3 linked regions of the Styela clava genome follow. The main gene of each other region encodes a partner of the protein of the gene in region 2 in a complex. Links are inferred from orthologs where the notes say so. Each region holds a gene or a part of one and is shown on either strand. Other genes may lie near its edges.

Region 1 (6,091 bases), on a different chromosome or scaffold from region 2:
AATCCTCCGGATTCGGTATTCTATATTGCCCATCCCTACCCTTGATCATAATGGGAGAACAGTAAGTTGGATTGATCAAGCCCTACGTACCTGTCAGACTAACTCGTAACCAGTCAAGCTCAAACATTAAAGTTTTGTTTGCTTAGTAGATGTTCTTGTTGTTGTATTATCAGACAATATGAATGGTATACAAAACTGGCATGGAAACTAAATTGTGAAACCCAATCTGGAAGTACAAAACATCCAAGATTTGAAAAACCATGTTAAATTTAGCAGTTTGTACCATGGCTTTATACAAAACTGGCATGGAAACTACATTGTGAAACCCAATCTGGGAGTACAAAACATCCAAGATTCGACAAACCATGTTAAATTTAGCAGTTTGTACCATGGCTTACTGTAAAACAGGCCCATAGGCATTCCCTTACGCTTATGGTATAGAAAGATACCTCAACAAAGAGGCTAATTCCAATTCCGCTTTCATGCTCAATATAAAATAAATATATCACAAGAAAAGCAGTTTTTATCATATTGTATTTCATCAGTCTTCTTCATAATCTAGATAGAAAAATTAATTTTAGATGAACTACAATTCCCCTACATATTCGCCAGTTCCCTCATATATTTATTCATGTAATGTCAGAATATAACATAGAGTTTTGCTTATATTTTTTCAAGCAGTCCCACGGCTCATAAAGCCTTTATTTCATGTTAAGACAATGCGTTTACAACAATATTCCAATACCAAATGGATCCAAAACATTGATCCTAAGCAATCATGGCCTTGAATATGGATGGGACTCTATTTTGACACCCGTAGCCGTTTGCATTTTCCCACCTCCTGGTGGTAGCTGAGTTGGGTTTCGAGACTGTTGTATTGAAATATCACGACCGTACGTTGAAGCTGCAATTAATTGTACAGTGTCATTCTGATTAAATGTTGGTTTTATATTTTTCATTTGCTGTTGATCGTTTTTCCAATTATGTAGAGAAAGTTTTATTCTTTCTAACATTTTATCACAACATTTGTTTAAGTTTTTGACGGCTGCATCATTACATACACTTGCTTCATTATTCATTTGACGTTCCGTTTGTTCGACCTCTGGATCAGGTTTGGTCCTTAGATAATCTGGGACAACGGCATGATTAAGATATAGCAATCTACCTTCCGTTAGATTAGCAAGATATTGGTCGTCATCCTGGCCCAAGCGTAATGGTATAATAGGATAATTTTGAAGAGGTGCTATTTTTTCAGCTTTCAATAAGTTGAAGAGTGAACTCATTTGACCCGATAACAGAGCATAACTATCCAAGACTGATGTCCAAGTAAGAGTTTCATGTTCGTGATCTATTTTTGCAATAAATTGTACCAAAGCATTTTTCAATTCTCGAGAACGATTCATGAGGGCTTCAACTGATTGCTCGAGCACTTTTTCTTCTATTCCTTGAGATTCCATGATATTATTTTTAGAAATAAGTGTTGCAGGCTGATAAATATAAACAGTACTCATTATAAATCTAAGATATCAATTTGCATAACTTCACATCATTTGATAATAAAAACTAGTCAAAAATCAAATACAGCCCTATCAGAAAATTTGAAACTGATTCTTATCACAAGCCACAACACAGTTTGATAAAAACACTAGTACAAGATGGAATACCGGTTTAAATAGACAGGTCTTATATAAAAAAGAAGTCTGTAAATGTTTGAATTAGGTAACTCACAAATCATGCTGAATATCGTTTAATTAAGGTACACAAAAAGATAATTTCAAATTTCATGCATAGAAATGGAGAGAACAAATCTTGATTTCTAAATGAACCGCATTGTAATATTGATAATAATTTGAAGAAATAATCTGCAGAGAAAACTCAATTGCAAAACAAATAAATTAGAAAATACTCAAGTTATAAATAATTTTTCAAAAAAGTCTAGAAGTACAGTATTCCAATACCGATGTGGAGAAATATGAGAATAGAATTTTTGTTAACAATATCAATATTAATAAACATCCATGATATATGGTATATTTGTTAGGTAACAAATAAAGATAAAAAAGTGCTCTGGGAATATATCAAGTACTGACTGACATTGCAAAATTCATATTGATAAAAATAATGCTGCGGTAACATGGTACAGTACAGTAACAATAATACTGTTCATCATTCATAAGGTATTAATAATCAAGTGATTAAAAATTTTACAGAAAAATTAAAAAAAATGATAACAAATTGATTTCGAAGAATCAAGTGCAATTTGCAAGAAGTTGCAATTTGTAAGAAAGAATTAGTTATATAATGATTGAATGAAAAAAGGACTTGTTCAAAACAATTTTAAAGCTTCAGAGTGTTGAATGTAATTTGAAATTTCATCGGAACATTTTAAAAACAGATTAGGCTATAGAGGATAATGGGCACATAACACAATACAGAGGTAAAACGACAAAAATTGTGAGAAAAATAATCAACTATATTTTATTATGAAATCTAACGCAAGGCAATTCTGTAGGTCTTGCGACTGGGAGTAATTTGTACTTTTTTGTATTGTTGACATCACCATCAATTTCCCATGTAAATTTTTCCAGTAACGTTTTTGTCAAACGCTGTAGGATATACTGAATGAGACGATGTCCGATACATACACGTTCCCCACCCCCAAAAGTAAATATAGAATTTGCTGATATAGTATTTCCCTGATTTAACCATCGATCTGGATTGAATTCATCAGGATTTTTAAACACATTCTTATCTCTATGGGCAAAATATGAGACATAAATTACAGCATAACCTTTTGGTATTTTATAGCCACCAATAGTCGTATCTTTATTTGCAATGCGTCGTCCTCCTAAAAACGGAGGCCATAATCTCTGAACTTCTAATAAAATTCTTGAAAGAAGTTGAGAATCTAATGCAGCACTCTCACGTAAATTAGCTCTTTCTTTCGCAGCCATTTCTAATATGAACGAAGTAATAATAGAAGAAAATGCTTTTGGAATAAGAGAGGATATGAAGAGTAAAATATGCTGTTCCATATTTTTATCCCTATTCATAAATGGCGCTTGAAGCATCTGTTGTATAACGTTGGACTTGTTAGGATTGACATAGGCATCGTTTTTGGATACTGATGCATCCAGTTTTGATGAACTATTATTCTTCTCTGCTGCTATCATTTTTCTAATATGAATAAGAAGTTTTTCTTTTGCTTCTATTGCTTTGCTCCAACCAGATTGACCAGCAAAAGGAATTTTAACACTAACAGGAAGGGATATAATGCCATGCCAATGCAATGTTGCCAACTCAGAAATAGATTTTGACCTTTCTGATGATGTATCTGAAAATCCAAGAAAAAATTTAAGACAGAATTTAGTCATCAGAGATTTAAATTCTTCATATACATTGACTAACTCTCCATTCGGTGGGAAATTTTCGAAAAACTTCCCAAAAAATTCCTCGATACTCGATTCATACTGTGTAATATTAGTGAATATAGGAGTGAGACAGTTCCTTAATAACTTTGCTGCTTCTCCATTTTCAAACAAAAGATTGTCTCCATAAGAATTGTAAAGAAATTCTCTATATCCATGATCGAAATCTCTCGATTTTTCATATAGAATTTCAGTTGTTTCTTGATGTGAACAAACAAATATAGTTGGTGTATTAACAAGTCTTGTTAGAAAGACTTTGGATGAGGTCTCAGATATTTTTGTGGTGATAAACAGTTCGGGGTCCCTGTAGAATTCCACCGACTTGTCGCCAAATATTGGGTATCCACATGATCCCGGAAGTTGAGACATGCCTCTATCAACTTACAGCATTTTCGAGTGTCTGTGTTTTGATCAGCTGATGGTAATCCCCGATATTATCGATATCTTTGCATGTTCTAATGTTTACTCTGAATGTTCTGTTAGATAATCAGATAATGAAAATATTGTAATCATACAGTCACGATACTACAGGTAACATTTACCAAATACTTAAATTTGCAAGCGGTCTTACTACTTTATATTCCCGTAAATAATTATTGCGTCTCATGTACTTTCTCACCTGAATAACTTCTAATGGGCGTGGCGTAACAATTTTTAAATATATGATTCCTGACCCCCACCTGATGACGTCATCAAAAAAATTACGTCACTGCGACGTCACAATAACGAAATACAGCTTGCCAAAGTATAGCGACGGTCTCCCGTAATGGCGCCCGCGAGTATGTTTACAAACTCTCAGCGACCTCTCTCGTATCGGGATCGTTGCGCAGAGCTCAAAATAAACAAGGATCACAAGGGACTAAATTGTCGCCATGGAACGTTCACGTTATCCCATTCCGAACAATTTTTTGTCCAGCAATAGCTCATGTATCGTGTTACAATCTGATAGGGCGTTATACGACACCACTCTAAGCAAGACTTTAGACAAGCAGAAAGGGCATATTAATTTACGCGATGGTTGAAGTTGGGTACCACACACATAAACCTTTGTTATTTTACCGTATGTCCAGCAATAGCTCATGTATGCTACAATCTATTAATAGGGTATTATACGATACCGCTCTAGGCAAGGCTTTAGACAAACAGAAAGAACATATTAATTGATGATTGAGGTTGGGTACGGCAAACATAAAGACTTGTTATTTATTATCCGGAGATTGATCATGTATTGTGCCACATTTTAATAGGACGTGGAATGTTTTCACTCTATGCAAGGCTTTATACAAGCAGAAACCGACGTATTAATTTGCTTTAACGATATGGGTGTAGTTTTCATACCTCAGTAACTTCTAGCGGGCTTAGCGTACCGGTAACAATTTTTGCATTTTCATTCATGAATAATTAAATGTAGAAATGCCATATGGCTCGCACGGAAATGCAGTTGGAAATATGTACCTTTTAGTCTTAAACTCAAATTTAGTCTTAAATATGTTGTCTTTCAGATCTTGATTGAAATTGAATAAAAATAGTACTTATATAAAGAATTTACTGTTTGTTTTGACTGGGGCTGTGGTGTGGAGTCGATAAAATTTACAGCAAACTTAGGCTTAGGCCATTTAGAATATGATTCTAACCCAGACTGGATTCCATGGCAGGTGCACGCCCGAGGGCGCTAGCGCTCCGCAAAAATGCACGCGAGCGAAATCAATTTTGCACGCCGAAAATTTGCAATTGCTCACCAATGTAAATCGGTTTAAATGGTTTTAAAATCAATAATCCAGTAATATAAAGATGCCAAAATATTATACCTCCACAATTGTCGACAAATACCAGCTTGCAAGATTTGGTCTGATCGAAATATTGCGAAGCAAAAAGACCATGGACCTTTCCCCAACCTTTGACCCGCGAAAAATTCCTCTCATTGTTACGTCCTTTTTTGCATCTTGCTGATTGGCCAATGTCACGAAGTAAACAAGGAAGTCGATGCTCGGGGAAAGGTCCATATCGTGTTGAATGATAGGAAATAGGAATCCCGTGAGAATAGTTATGGACGAAAAGATCGCCTCCGCACCAATGGCCAAGTACGGCTCTGATTCAGCGTATTTTTCATACAATAATTTTACACGAATGTACTGAACAGTACCGGTATCTAAAGTTGCTCAAACACTCCCAAAATTAGTGACAAAGTATGAAAATAATGTTTGGGGTCAAAGGTCAAACGTCCATTTTGCTCTAATTTGACGTATTTTTTATCCATTAATTCTACGTAAACACACTACCAAAATTAATGACAAAGTATGTCCATTTTGCTCTGGTTCAACGTATTTTTTATCCAATAATTTTACGCGGATGTACTGAACAGTACCGGTATCCAAAGTCGCACAAACACTCTCAAAATTAGCGACAAACTGTAGAAATAATGTTTGGGGTCAAAGGTCAAACGTCCATTTTTTCTCTGATACAACGTATTTTTTATCCGATACCGGTAATTTTACGCGGATGTATTGAGAGGTATCTGATGTCAAAGTCAGTTGCACGCGAGTGCAGTTGTTTTGCACGTCGTGAGCTATAATTGCACGCCAGGAATTCTTATTTGCACGCGGGAATTTCTGATTGCACGCCCGATTTCTCGTTCAAAAAGGCCATGAAATCCAGACTGGATT
Region 2 (6,813 bases):
ATGGACACGTTAATCAAAGCAAAGCAGTCGTTTTGCCATGAGCTTGTGCCGTTTTGCCATGAGCGTGTTCTCTCATCCACGACGAATAATGTAATATAAAGCATACATATTCGCTAACAAACACATTTCATGAAGTGTGGTGAATAATCCAAATGAAAAATAATTCAAGAACAATAAACAATATTTCATGTCACACAGACCTAATAGACTGGGAAATATTGACCAATGGTACAATTTTTTCTATTTACATTTTGCACCAGGACCAGGGTTCCCAGACTCCAGCGATCAAAAAAAGCCAAATCAAGACATAAAAAAGCCAGCAGAAAAAGCCAACAATTTTACGTACGAAAGCCCCATGATTTGTCAGATTTTGAGCCCTTGGAAACGTACTGATGAGAGAAAGAGAGAGATTTATTGATTCGTCAACCAAAACAAATATAAATATGAAAGCATAAATACAAATAAATAAACACTGTTTATGGTAAAGACTGGAGGGAGCGATACGACTATAGGGAGATGTGGTGCGGTCTTAGGGATAAAGACTGTTCACCCTAATATTCAAAGTTCGATTCCCACGTTATTAATTTCACGTGTTATGGAATGTGACTCCAATCTGGATTCCCTCAGACGATAATAAGCACACGATGATGATTGTCGACATGTTGTATATTATTGAAAAGATGCACGATCCAAATTCCAAATACAGATAAAATTGTAAACACTTAATTCTTAATGCAGTAATATTACGGTCAGATCACAAGTCATATATCAAGTGAAACAAAAAAACACAATATTATAGAGCATTCTCGGCAAACCGGAAACGATACGTTATCAAATTGGTCGAAACGAGAAAGGCAATACATGGAGCGAATGCATTATCGCTGTTGCGAAACATAATGCGGCCTATTTTGTGAAATATTACATGCTATTAATATGAAAGGGTTAAATACATTATAATCCATAGTTACACAATGCACATTCGCTACACAATTCCCCCTCGACAGTAAAAAAAATTAACTTGGTAATTTTTTAAATTTTGTAGTCCGGTCGCCGAGAGATGAAAGTCTAAAAACACAAAAAACACGAATCAATAAAAGGTACGATATGATGAATAATGGCTAAGGTATACGGGAGAATATACGTCGTTTACAAGAGCAAGAAAATACGTGAGAGAAAAAAAATCAAAAATACAAAAAAATTTCAAAGGGTCTCCGTGGTGCTTTGAAATGTTTAACATTTGAAAATGAAATTGTAACGATACATTGAAACAAAATGGCGACGATGTACCGGAAGAGACACCTTAAAATGTAAAACGGTTCTGATGTTTAATGAAGAGACTGAGAATGAATAAAATGGCGGGTTTCGTCCTAAAAATTGCATTGAAATTGATTAGATGTTTAAGGTCGTAAAATTGATGTTAGAGGTAACTTGAACAAAATAATAAGGAAGAAAAATCCTGAAAATTGAATAATGAGTGATTTGAAGAATTATTGAACCATTGAATCCTTGAGATTGAACCTGGATCAAATTCTGTATGAAGTAAAAGACTCATGATATCTAAAAACAACAATTGATTAGTAACAAGGAAATACACACAAAAGAAATGAGAATACGCAAAATTTTTATTTTGATGGTTTTGTAATATTTATATTTTTATAGTGAGGTGTTTTTATGTTTATGATGGATAATAATAAGAAAAAAGATAATAAAATACAAGACGATTAAATTGATAAAATGAAAATAAGTAATAACGAAGCGATACATTGCGAGTTACACACCATATACCAGTGGTTCTTAAAGCATGGGTCGCGACCCAAACATGGGTCGCGGAAGGTTTAAAAATGGGTCGCGACAAGGTCGTTAATGCAAGGGCAATCTAAGAGGAGACGGACGAATTTTCAGATTTCCCAATGTTTCAATTTAGCTTCTAAACTCTGGTATTTAAAAATAATGGAATATAAAATTTCATTCACGGAAAGAACTGTCTTGAGCTCATTGTTACATCACAATTCTGATATGCCAGTCACGTGTATTATTTTCATGGTATCGGTAACCATGCAACGTTGTGTTGACCGCGTGGAATGTCGTCTTAGTGGATTAAAATAACCAAAAATGGGTGTCTTTTTGGTATTGTAAATTGTAATAGACGACGCAATGAAAAAGCTCGCTTCTCGACATTAGATTATTCAATATCTAGAGAAAATGTGACTTCATCTCGAGGCACCATTTACCGCGAACGAAGCGGTGTGTGCACATTTGATGAGTAAAAAGTTGTATATTGCGAGAGATACCGAAGGCCAGCTAGGATGTCGTGTTTGCGACGGACAGCGGACGCCTTTCTGCTACAATTCGCGACAAGGCACTTGTGCGAGCGAGGATATTTGGCACTGACGGTTATCAAAACTAAGCTCGCAATCGCCTCGATACCCGTGACAACTTGCGTATTGCGTTATGTAAAATAGAGCTGTGTATTGAAGATATAATGAAAAGGAAATTTCAGTTTCATCAATCTCACTGAGTCAATGGACTGTTTCTAATAAATAGTTGTCTGTATTTGAGTCAAACTGTACTAACATTAAAAACACATTTTGCGTTATTTAGGATTGGGTCGCGAGTATTCATAAAACTCAGATTTGGGTCGCGCTCGAAAAAGTTTAAGAACCACTGCCATATACCATTTGCAACGTGCGTCGAAATCGAGTTTCCTTAATAGGGTGTGGATAAATCGAAAGGTTTACGGTCAGATCACAAGTCATATATCGAGTGAAACAAAAAAACACAATATTATAGAGCATTCTCGGCAAACCGGAAACGATACGTTATCAAATTGGTCGAAACGAGAAAGGCAATACATAGCAAACATAATGCGGCTTATTTTGTGAAATATTACATGCTATTAATATGAACGGGTTAAATACATTATAATACATAGTTACACAATGCACATTCGCTACACGACCATACGGTCATCCAAGTCAGCTCACCGTACCTTTGACGCTACCGGTACCTACGCTTGACAAAGCAGGAATTTCGTTCCACACCACCGACGTTCCATGAGCGTGATCAAAAGAACAACAAAAAGAGTGACAGCACAAAAACAAATCCAATACGTGTCATAAAAACGAATCCCACAGTGCTATCAAGAATATTTGAAATAGATGAATGTAATAGCCTTCTAAAGAATTTTTTTATCTTTAACCACTGAAAAGAGCAATTGGTCCAGTAATCAAAAAGAAAAGCGACTTTTTACGTTTTCCACAAGGTGTCCAAAAGTGTCAAAGAACAACAACAACATAATATTAAAACGATCGTTATGTTCACTAACTTGTCCAACAAGAACAACAAAAATTGCAAAACGATCGTTATGTGCACCAACGTGTCCAATTTACGTGCGAACTTGATCATTTCACATTTTGAAAAAACTACACACACGTGAGCTACTTGATCTCAAAAATCGGTGTGTCAGATAATTTGCAAAAATCCATTGACAGTAACCAGCAATGCTAACCGGTTTGCTGATCTCAAAATTCCGTGAGACGGTTCTATAGAACCAGTGCGAACAGGATGAATCCCACAACTGGATAAAGTGCGTAATAAACCGACATATTTTAATAAGTGATAGGGCCTACTACCCTCTAGTACAGGGTGGTCCAAACCCAGGCCGGCGGGCCACATGTGGGCCGCCGCGTCATTATCCGTGGCCCGCGACTCATTTGCGCGAAGGGAAACAAAAAATTGCACTTGGAGTTGTTTCATCTTGAAAATAACCAAAAAATATTTTAAAGTCACTGAATTGAGTAGTGTTATGGCTAGCTGAAGCAGCTAGCGTGGTTAATTTATGTGCTTAGGTAGACTAAATATTTATCTGGCTTTCCATTTTTTTGTTCGGGAATATATGCTAACAAAATAAGCTTCGTAGAAAAGTAAAAATCGAATATAAAGAATCTATAAGCCTAGGTTGGCTACGCATGTAACTGAATATAATTCCTGTCGGATCTTTTTTGAAATTTAGTAATTATCCTAATGTATCCCAAATTTGGTGAAATTCAGTAATCAATCAATCTGCTGTTATTTGTAAATTATTTTGTAAACATGAGTTTGAAAAGAATGCTGACCAATTCAAACAGATTTTTTGACTGGATATGGGATACCGGTACCATACCATAATACTTGCCCAATATGTCTGCAAGTTGTGTCGGTGATGACTGATGATCTAAAACGACATTTTCTTCGTTATGAAAAGTTTGAAATTTTACACTAAATGTAGATATAGACTAGTCTAGTAAGATTTGTGCAAGTTTTAGTAAGTTTTTTTTGGTGGTTTTTGTACGTTTTAGCTTGATAAATGACTAATAATGATCAATGTGTTTGGACAATAGAAGTGTGTGTTTTGTATTGCACTGTATACTCTAGGCACTATTGTGGCCCGCGAGGCCGACAACCTTGGACCACCCTGCTCTAGTGGTATAAGGGGAAAATTTTTCCATAAACAATGAATAACTTTGTAATATTTTTGATAAGTTGAAAGCAGATTGCAGACCCCAAAATTTTGTAGATATCATTTTTTGTGACAAAATTCATTTTCACATTGAAGTAGCATTGTAGAATTTTGTGAAATATACTCTACTATACCACTTTTTGTCATGCAGGTCTGCATTTTCTTGTTGTTTGTATCAATACTTCTTTCTGTATATGTACAAGCTGATTTAAATTAACGCATTCATGCTAAAATAAAGTTGAGATATTATATAATCTGGCAGTATGGGAGTTACATTTGTAACCCATTGGGATATTGAGGAAGGAAAAAATGTTCCACAATCATTAGAAGAACTTCAACGGACAATTGAAAAAATTGGAGCTAAAAAATCAGGATTATTTTGCGTGGAATGTGAAACATATCAAACAGTGAACATTAATCAAGGAAAACCTCTAAACATAATATCCAACTCGGAATACCCATTGTCAAAATTTGCACTTTTTGAAGATGGTGCTTCACTAATCGCAGATGCAATGCTACCAAATTTTTTAGTTAAGATGAGATTGTTTTGGCAACAGCGCAAAGGGGCAAAGATTGAGTGCAAAGGACATCGGTATATTCTCAATGATTTTTTATTCAAAATTGGAGTAGTTACTCATGGGTCAAATACAAGAGGAATTGCTGTTGAGATAGAGTACACTCCGTGCCTTTATGTTAAAGAATGTTGGAATTTGCTTTTAGAGATTTTTCAAAATATTCTGGGACCCCAAGCTCCTACATCGGAAAATCCACTTTTTCAAAAATTGAAATCAACTGACATAATATATACAGCGGAACATACATCTTTACAATACATAGAAGTTTTCAATAATTTTCGCAAAGTTACATCATGAATTGGGATTTTATATTCCGTTGGTCTGTTTCGTGTATTTGTAACATTGGAGTTGCAATGAGTTATAAAGTATGAAATATCAAATATTTTAATATTACCAGAACTTTCAGAACCTGTCCCTCCAAAATAGTAGATGAGAATTGATTTCCTATTTTTATTATGGAGAATGAAGTTTCTTATCGTCTTGTTCAACATTAAACAAATAATTGAAAATAATGCCATTTTCAACTAATTTGGTTTAAACTTTGAAAATTAGCTTTGGCGTCATCGCTCTAAAAAGTTTACTGATAAGTTTTTATTTTATTAAATATTTGGTATATATGTCTGCTAATTTAATACTTTCTTCTAAACAAAAATGTTATTCATATCCATGGGAAGATGATTTAATAAAAGGATTTTGCAAAACATTCGGTTAATTTTGACATGTAATATTTTTGTATTGCCATTTTTACTATGAACGTTGCCATGTACAGGGATCCCAGTTCAATACACCCTGCGTGAGATGATAGGCATGTGACTTCAACATGGGATGTTCAACCTAGTTATGCCCAGCGCTTTAACCAGTGATTTCATTTTATATTTGTTCATTTTTAAATCCATGCCTGTACGATGTGTATGTTATGTAGGTTTACATAAACTTTTGAAACCAACTTGATTGCTCTTTAGATATATTGACATAGTGACAGTACGATGACAGTCATGGTCACGATGCTTTGTTTAACTAGCATATTTATACGCTATTCAAATATTCCCATCTACTTATTACTACTTCTCAATAAAGTATCGAAATAATTTTACACAACCCAAATTGATGATATTGTGGAAAGAAAATCAGTCTGATTATAAGTTTTCATACAATTGCTATTTTATGAATTTATCTCAATTTTCTACCATCATCAATTTATGAGCTTGATAACCTTATTTGCAGAAATATTGTTTGTTCACTATAATAAGATGCCAACTTGTGCTGTTTGCGATAAGCTTGACAATTTGAAGTCCTGTAGTCGATGTGGAAGTGTAGAATATTGTGGGCGTGAACACCAAACACAACATTGGAAAGTGCATAAAAAAGATTGTAAAAAACAATCGGGCAAGACAGACAGCACTGAAAATTCTGAAGAACAAAATGAGAATTCCACAATAGATGAAGTCGCACAAAAGATCAAATCAATGAATTTAGAAACAGAAGGTCGTGTGGCACAGAATTCTATTCCTCTTAACCCATATGATAGTTACACAAAAAGGGATGAAGGAATTGTTGCTCGATGTCATAAAAACTTAGTTCAGAGGGGAATATGCGTCATCGATACGTTTGTGGATGAAAATAGAGCGGATTTGTGTCTGGCTGATGCAATGTCTTTATATTCGCAACCCGATAAATTTAAACCGGGTGAAGTGATCAAGCAAGCGGGAAAAGATAAAATACGCGGAGATGAAATTATTT
Region 3 (7,246 bases), on a different chromosome or scaffold from region 2:
TCGAATCTCCATAAATACTGTCAACTAGAGAGTTAATAGGTCCGTTGAAAAGTTCTGTTGTCGTGCTACAAGCGTTACATATCAGAGCGATCGCATAGTCTTGCAAACTGTTGTTCTTTGATTCCAAACAACGCTGCAAATACTCGTGGTGTTTTTGTAATGATACTGGTATCGCACAATGTTGAAATTGTGCAGTTTTGGACGTGGTGCTAATAGACCCCGAAGAGCTGTTAGAACTTGCATTTTCTTGTTGTTGATTATCACTCTGGGCTTTCCTGTTCAAATGCATTAAAATGCAAATTGCAGCAAACTTATGTGTGCTGAACGGCTTCGTTATATCAGGTTCTGGAAGAGGTTGACGTTCAGAATACAACAAATTCATCAACTTTATAATCGGAAGAAAATCGCTGAGTGGATTTTTTTGAATGCTTCCTGAAATAAATTGAAGCAAGACCCACATTAAATGATCACGTCCATTTTTGACATTTCTTGATGAAAGTTTCTGATAAAAATTTTCAACCATTCTTGGGAAAACTGCGAATTGCAAAAGAACAAAGTAGATCACCTGACTTGATAAATGTTGCCATTGTAAATGTATTATACGATAAGCATCGTCCTTTTCATCTAAATTTTCGATTTCACTAGTTCGTTCCATTGTGCTGACAACTAAATCAACCAGTTCTGTTTCTAACGCTTCGCATCTTTGCTTTTGCTGTTTTTGAAGATTCAGAACATGACACACCATATCTCTTGAATACGGCTGCTCAAGAATGTATCTCAAGAGCTTCGTTTGGCGTTGATATAAACTTCTATCATACGGAAGTTGTCCTTTCGTTGTGAATCTCAAAGTCTCATGATCAAGTTTCCAAGTGGTCGTTAACGGAACAGAAAAATGAAAAACAACCGGCAAAAGATGTGACCGTCCTGTTGTGGAAACCATGGTCGCCGTTGCACGAAATCTGTCTACAAACTCCGCGACTTTCCCTGATAGACTCCAATGACCGGATGGTTGGTCCTCCCCAGAATATTGACGAATCTCATTAACGGCTAAATACCCTGGTAATAGACAAGCTTCTGGATCCAATAGGTATTCAATTACATCAATTATAGCATTCATTTGTTCTGTCATTTCAGACCAAGAGGTTGTCGGTACATTTTTCAACTTCAACAGAACTAGATGCAGAATATCACGACATCCTTTATATTCAATTAAATGAATATATTCCTTTAAAATTTCAAACGTTTTGCACCAATGAACACGACGATTATGTTTCAACATTTCATGAGGAATTAAACGCTGCAGAACTGTTTTGGTAGGTAGTATCGAATCCTTCAAACAAATTTTGATCATGTCCGCTACAAAATTTATGTGACGTAAAACAGTTTGTTTATGGAAAAAATTCAACAAACCAGACACACAATCTTCGGGCGCAATCTCTCGGGTCATTTCTTGAAATTGAGAAAGGCATGCACGGAGCCGTTTGTCATGGTCTTCTGGAGTTAAACGAACAAATCCAGCAAAAACATTCACTATTGTATCTGTCTTCAATGCGTCGTCGAAAACTTTTTCAAGTCTACTATCAATAGACATGTTGATTCCCTTGTTTAGAAAAAATTCATTGAATGGAAAATTTTCAGCAAAAGTCGGACATTACTTAAATCCAATATACAGTAAATAATGGCTCTATAAGTATTACTGAAATATCAATTGGATTATTTTATATAGGCCTATTAAATGTCTTGGTAAGAATTACTACAGTATTGATTACAGAAAAAGAATGACATTAATGTGGCAATTAAAAGAAGCGCTAATATAGTAGTACAATACGACACAATATCCAAATTCCTAGAATTTCCCTCCAATTTGTTCAATAAAACATACACTCCATGTGTCTCACAAAAGAGGGCACCACGTCGGATGCGTCATATCACGCCATGCTTGTCTCAATAGTAATCTAAATTAATCGCGGCCGCCATGTGACCAAAATTGCCATTTTTCGCTAAAAACTCTCGAATGCCACGGTAAAAAACTTTTTCCCTTCGGTAAATTGGATTATTTTTTCCAGAGAAATTCAATGATGACGTTTTTAGATTGCGCTTTTTTGTAGTATTTTGCGCCAACTTCATTATACTGCATTTTTACCGATATTGAGGGACAACAATGTCCAGACGTCTGCCAAAGGAGGACTGTCTGATCATCGGTAAAATGGGTTTCTCTGAAACAGGACAATGTCACTCGATTTGTATAGTGTGCTGTACTGTAGTGACATAAATTTGCTTGAATGATTTATTGAATAAGCTAATAGTAGGCTGTTCAAAATTTAAATATCCTGCGACGCCAAAACCAAATTAAATGGTTCTTCCAAATTGAATTAAATATTAAACTAGACGAGTATTTTAATTTAAAAAATCCAGTTATCATACAGATAAATTAGAATTCCGACAATTTCAATCAAATAAATTATACATGAAGTTCTGCACAGTACTGCAGTATTTAACAAAGTGTTAATCGATAAATTAACATAGGAACAGGACTTGAAAATGTATCCAAAGCGAAATTCAAAATGTTTACAAACTTTTTCATGAACTGGCCGACGATATCAAACTTCTAAAAATTGATTCAATATCGATATGATAAATAAAAATACTAAGCACTAAAACTTGGAATGTAGCAGAAAACTTTGAATAAAAAGCAACATAGTAGGATGTATAAACTTATCAGATCAAATTTAATTAGTGTGGCCACAAGTTACATTGTCCACTGTTTAGAAATGAAATACTGCAAACCACACTTGAGATGTGGATGAGAGACATGTACGTACACTGCAGCACTGCCAACAACTCAGGATTTGAAAACAAATTTGAATGAAATTCAGTCACAACATTTATTTTCAAATCACATTTTTGTTTGTTGTTATTTAGGCACTTACTTGCGTTAACTATTTAAGACCTGTAGACCCCAAACTTGTTCACAACTTACTTGATGATAAAATATATTACAAGACTGCAAGAGGAGCCAAGTTTAAATTGCTGAATAGTCTTGTCTAGGAGGCGCGGCGGTGTGGCTCAACGGGCGAGTGGGAGTGGTGAATCCTCTGCGGCCCATGGGCCGGGGCCACGGCCCATCGAATTGGGCCTCGGCCCATCAGGCTATGGGCCGCGGCCCATCAAGTTGTGTAAAGAAACTATTCACTTGGCTAACACAGACAGTCCCCGAACTCATAATAGAACTATAATGTAAAAAAATCTGAATTTTTCTTGTCCTAACCCTAACCTGGTACACATACTACAGGAGTATATTTTTTTGGTTTGAATATTGACAATTTGGTAAAAATTGAAAATTTTGTTAAAATAATTGAATTTTTCTTGATGGGGCTGCGGCCCATCAAGCTATGGGCCACGGCCCATGTGGCCCAATTAGATGGGTCGTGGCCCTGGCCCATGGGCCGTAGAGGAGTCACCACTCCTGTAGCAACGGGCTAAGCGTTAGGAATACGCTCGTGACCGCACCTCTAATTACTCTGCGTGGGTTCGAATCCCATGCAGGGATGGTTATGTGCGAGAGGATTGCTGGACTCCTCGCCGTCGTTGGGTGGTTCATGTAACCGCTGGTCGGTTATGGCTTCCTCCAGCACCAAGTCCATGCTTCCGAAAACAAACAATACGGTAAAACTAATCCCATACCTGACTTGGAATGGTAACCGGACGTGAGGCCGTGGTTCGCCATATGGATAAGCCGTCTTATCAGCTTTCCTCTCCCCCGGGATGAATATGTAAATCCTATCCTATCCTAGTTACCGGTATAGAAAGCAATAAACGAACTTCCACAAGAGTCTATGGTTGAGCCAAATAAGATAATTCACTATGAAAACGATTCCAAGTTACTAAGCAATTAGGTAAACTACCCGTCCCATAATAAAATATATAAATACACAATACAAAACACACAATGGCAAATATTTAAATCCAATTTGCCCATCTTCTCTAAATGTCCAACTTCATTTACTTCCATGTTTGATCCATGTTTCCAGGGTTGATCACTATGATGCACAAAGATCAAAACGTATTTTGAATTCGGCTGTGGTTTTGCTCTGCTGATTTGTATATACTGTAAGTTTTATACGCTTACTTAGTATGATATAATAAGTATACCGTACTGTTTATATCATTTAAAATATTTTTTTAATGTCAACTTTTCCAAACTTTATAAAAAAAATAAGAGAGGGAACATTTATTTTAACCGTGTAGGAATAATTTGCTAATTAGTGGGGCGTGACGACAAATATTAGCGACCTCTAGCGAGTTGTTTTGCCTCATTTTTATCGTCAGCAGGTGACACACTTGAGCTTTTCGTTATTGATTTGTTGCCAGAATTTTCTTCTCATTTCGTAAAAGAACAACTTATTTTTATTCTACTATTTTGTGTAAATTGAAGGATAAAAATACATAGTGTAATATTATAATAATTTTTATATATAAAATTGTTTAATGAACATATATTCCATTACTTTATTAGATATTAATTTCCTTTTGAGTATTTCCAATTATCAGGTCTGGCAATTGTAGATCAATAGGAGAAATGCCGATTCACCGGTGTTGTTTTTCTATTTGCTCGTCGGCATTTCTACATTTGCAGCGATGCAGCTTTATTAAATTCCACTGTTGTCGAGTATACTGGTAGAAGGAAGCATTGCATAGAAGACTGCAATACAATTCTGGAAGGTTCAGTTCTTCGTATTCTAAGGTGAGAATAATTCATCAGTATGCTAGATGTCAAAATACGGTTCTGATTCTGTAATAGACTAAGTTTTATTTTTTTGTTTTGTTTTTATCGTCTTTTATGCTGATTGTGGAGTAAAAATTGTCTTATACCATTATACTCCACTTCTTTACTGGGTATGTTTAGATGGTAGGATATGGTATGAACCACAATTTTTTTCCTAATTTCGATAGATGATATTTTCGATTTCGTGGAATCACTACGGTTTTATATTTCAGGTATTCGTGTGTGCTGTGTATGCAACATTTGTCAAGGTGCCTTGAACCTATAATACTGTGATTCATTGATGCTTTGTGTATGATTGCTGCTCAAAATTTTAGATTTGGTAGATAAATCAACTTTTCTGATTGACTAATTGTATTGCAGTATAGTAGATACTGAGATACGGTACTTTCAAATGAGGCTTCAAGGCTTATCTATAGGGCTTTATATTTATTTATTCTTTGACTTGCATTTTAAGTCAATAGTTTTAAAACATTGAAAATACACCTTGTATGAACAAACAATGTTAAAATGACATTTAAGGGTACAAAGAGGCACCAATCTTACTTTTGAGAAACTTACATTTACATTCACAGTATTTGTTGTATGGTTAATTGAATTTAAATTGTTACCAAATAAACCATTTATGAAAGTCTTTTAATATATATCATATATTTCTTGTTTTTGGTATGAACAACCTTATCATTTTTTGATTGTTCATATTCTTTCTTTGTAGAGATGGATATGTAAATGACTGCAATGGATTACAAGTCTCTTCAATATGTTTCTTTTCTTCGAGAGAAGATTGAAGATTATATCATGGCAGCTGAGCTTAACAATGTAAGTGAATATTCCTTTTATAACAATGGAAATAATATAATGCAATATTTGTAGAGTTTGTAAGTGATGGCTTACAATTTTTTAGGATGTCAAACTCGTTTTATTTTTTGGATAGCTTTTCATACTTGCAATGGTATGGATAAACTTCTGACTACATTTTTCGCCAGACGCCAGACTTAGAATGTGTGAAATTATAATGGGCTGTTACCATTTTATTACCTCACACATCTGATCTTTGACACATTGTATATACCGAGTTCATTTTCTTTAATCACCTAGTCTTTTGTAAAATCTGTTTAGGGAATCGACAGCTTAATGATAGTAAAATTCTACATCCAACTTCATCTATATTGTAACTTATCTACAAGATAGTTCAGAGTATATTTAAAAAAAGCCATAATATTTTATTAAAATCTTTTTTTTTTTGTTCACAAAGTCTTGCCGCAATTTTGCTTTTCTCTTTTCACATTCAAGTCATGCTTTAATTACTGTGAGATTCACTAAAGTTTCAAACACTATTCCGCAGTCAAACACCATTTATTTAATATCAATCCATGATTCCGAAAACAAATAACTGACTAATCTGATATCCGACATGGACTGGTAATCAGACGAGAGGATGTGGTTTGCCATATGATTAAGCCGTCTTATCAGCTTTCCTCTCCCCCAGGATAAATATGTTAATCTTATCCCATCTTGTGGTGAATGTCACAATTCATATGGAGGCGTGTCAATGATGTTCTTTTAGCACGTCACACAATTCTCAATATCTGTTCACTTATTAATCATCAAATCTATGCTATAAATATCTAAGTGGGCGTATCACTGGGCGTTTTCTGATGATGGCACTCCTCTTATTATTGAACAATGACCTTATTGACCTTGAGATATTCCTTCTTTGGTTAACCTATTAGCTTACTGTCAGCATGTCGATTTGTCCTCTAAGGAGGATGCTATTCAAATTGAATTGGGTCCATACGACCATTCCTTCAACTAACTGTTTATTGTAATCCGTCATCATCAAATTTACTCTATATTTTTAAACAACATAATAACATGATTTTGTCCTAATTTTGTTTTAATTTCATAATGTTAACGACCACTACTAGAAAGTATATTTGAAGTTGAATTCAAGCTTGACTACTAGTTTTGATTTATTTTAAACTTATCTTGGTTTTTCTGTGGCAGAGCCTTATTTGTTGCAAACACCGGTAGGTCATAATTGTGGTTGACACAACTTATTTACATGTTTTCTAATGCATTACATTAGTTCATGATATGTTTTCTGTTTCACTCTGGACAGGTTGACATTGTGGGCACTGGCAATAAAGTGAGCAGTGGTTCTCAATATTTTATGGCAGTCATGTCCCTCAGTTTATCATTCCAGTGGTATGTCATTTTGATTGGTAGATTCCAAATCCCATTATGTTTGAGCAATTTATGCTTAACAAAGTGAAAACACCCTGTGAAATCTCTTATCAAACAATGAAACTAGGAAGAATGGGGAGTTTTCTTATGAATGAAAAATAAAATTAATTTTGCGCCAGCATTGTGTCCTCCCCCCCCCTCCCCAACTGTAAATACCTATATTTTTACTCTGTGGCGCCCTTAGGGACTGCTGAAGTGGGGCCTTTGCTTATTCAG

What was found. The genes of interacting proteins can lie anywhere in the genome.
Region 1: mediator of RNA polymerase II transcription subunit 20-like (region 2) and mediator of RNA polymerase II transcription subunit 8-like share a complex: the UniProt entries of both Drosophila melanogaster proteins name them as parts of the mediator complex. The link is inferred for Styela clava from reciprocal best matches to the Drosophila melanogaster genes MED20 and MED8.
Region 3: mediator of RNA polymerase II transcription subunit 20-like (region 2) and mediator of RNA polymerase II transcription subunit 23-like share a complex: the UniProt entries of both Drosophila melanogaster proteins name them as parts of the mediator complex. The link is inferred for Styela clava from reciprocal best matches to the Drosophila melanogaster genes MED20 and MED23.

Annotation. Positions count from the first base shown.
Region 1 is NC_135258.1:9,744,505-9,750,595, forward strand, and holds mediator of RNA polymerase II transcription subunit 8-like, read right to left. Parts: upstream 1,514-6,091; 5' UTR 1,512-1,513; coding exon 777-1,511; 3' UTR 518-776; downstream 1-517. Other genes in the region: cytochrome P450 26B1-like, read right to left, coding at 2,472-3,797. UniProt on the Drosophila melanogaster protein: Component of the Mediator complex, a coactivator involved in the regulated transcription of nearly all RNA polymerase II-dependent genes.
Region 2 is NC_135251.1:21,685,099-21,691,911, reverse strand, and holds mediator of RNA polymerase II transcription subunit 20-like, read left to right. Parts: upstream 1-4,022; 5' UTR 4,023-4,761; coding exon 4,762-5,370; 3' UTR 5,371-6,272; downstream 6,273-6,813. Other genes in the region: prolyl hydroxylase EGLN3-like, read left to right, coding at 6,273-6,813. UniProt on the Drosophila melanogaster protein: Component of the Mediator complex, a coactivator involved in the regulated transcription of nearly all RNA polymerase II-dependent genes.
Region 3 is NC_135256.1:5,125,480-5,132,725, forward strand, and holds the start of mediator of RNA polymerase II transcription subunit 23-like, read right to left. Parts: upstream 3,018-7,246; 5' UTR 1,592-3,017; coding exon 1-1,591. UniProt on the Drosophila melanogaster protein: Component of the Mediator complex, a coactivator involved in the regulated transcription of nearly all RNA polymerase II-dependent genes.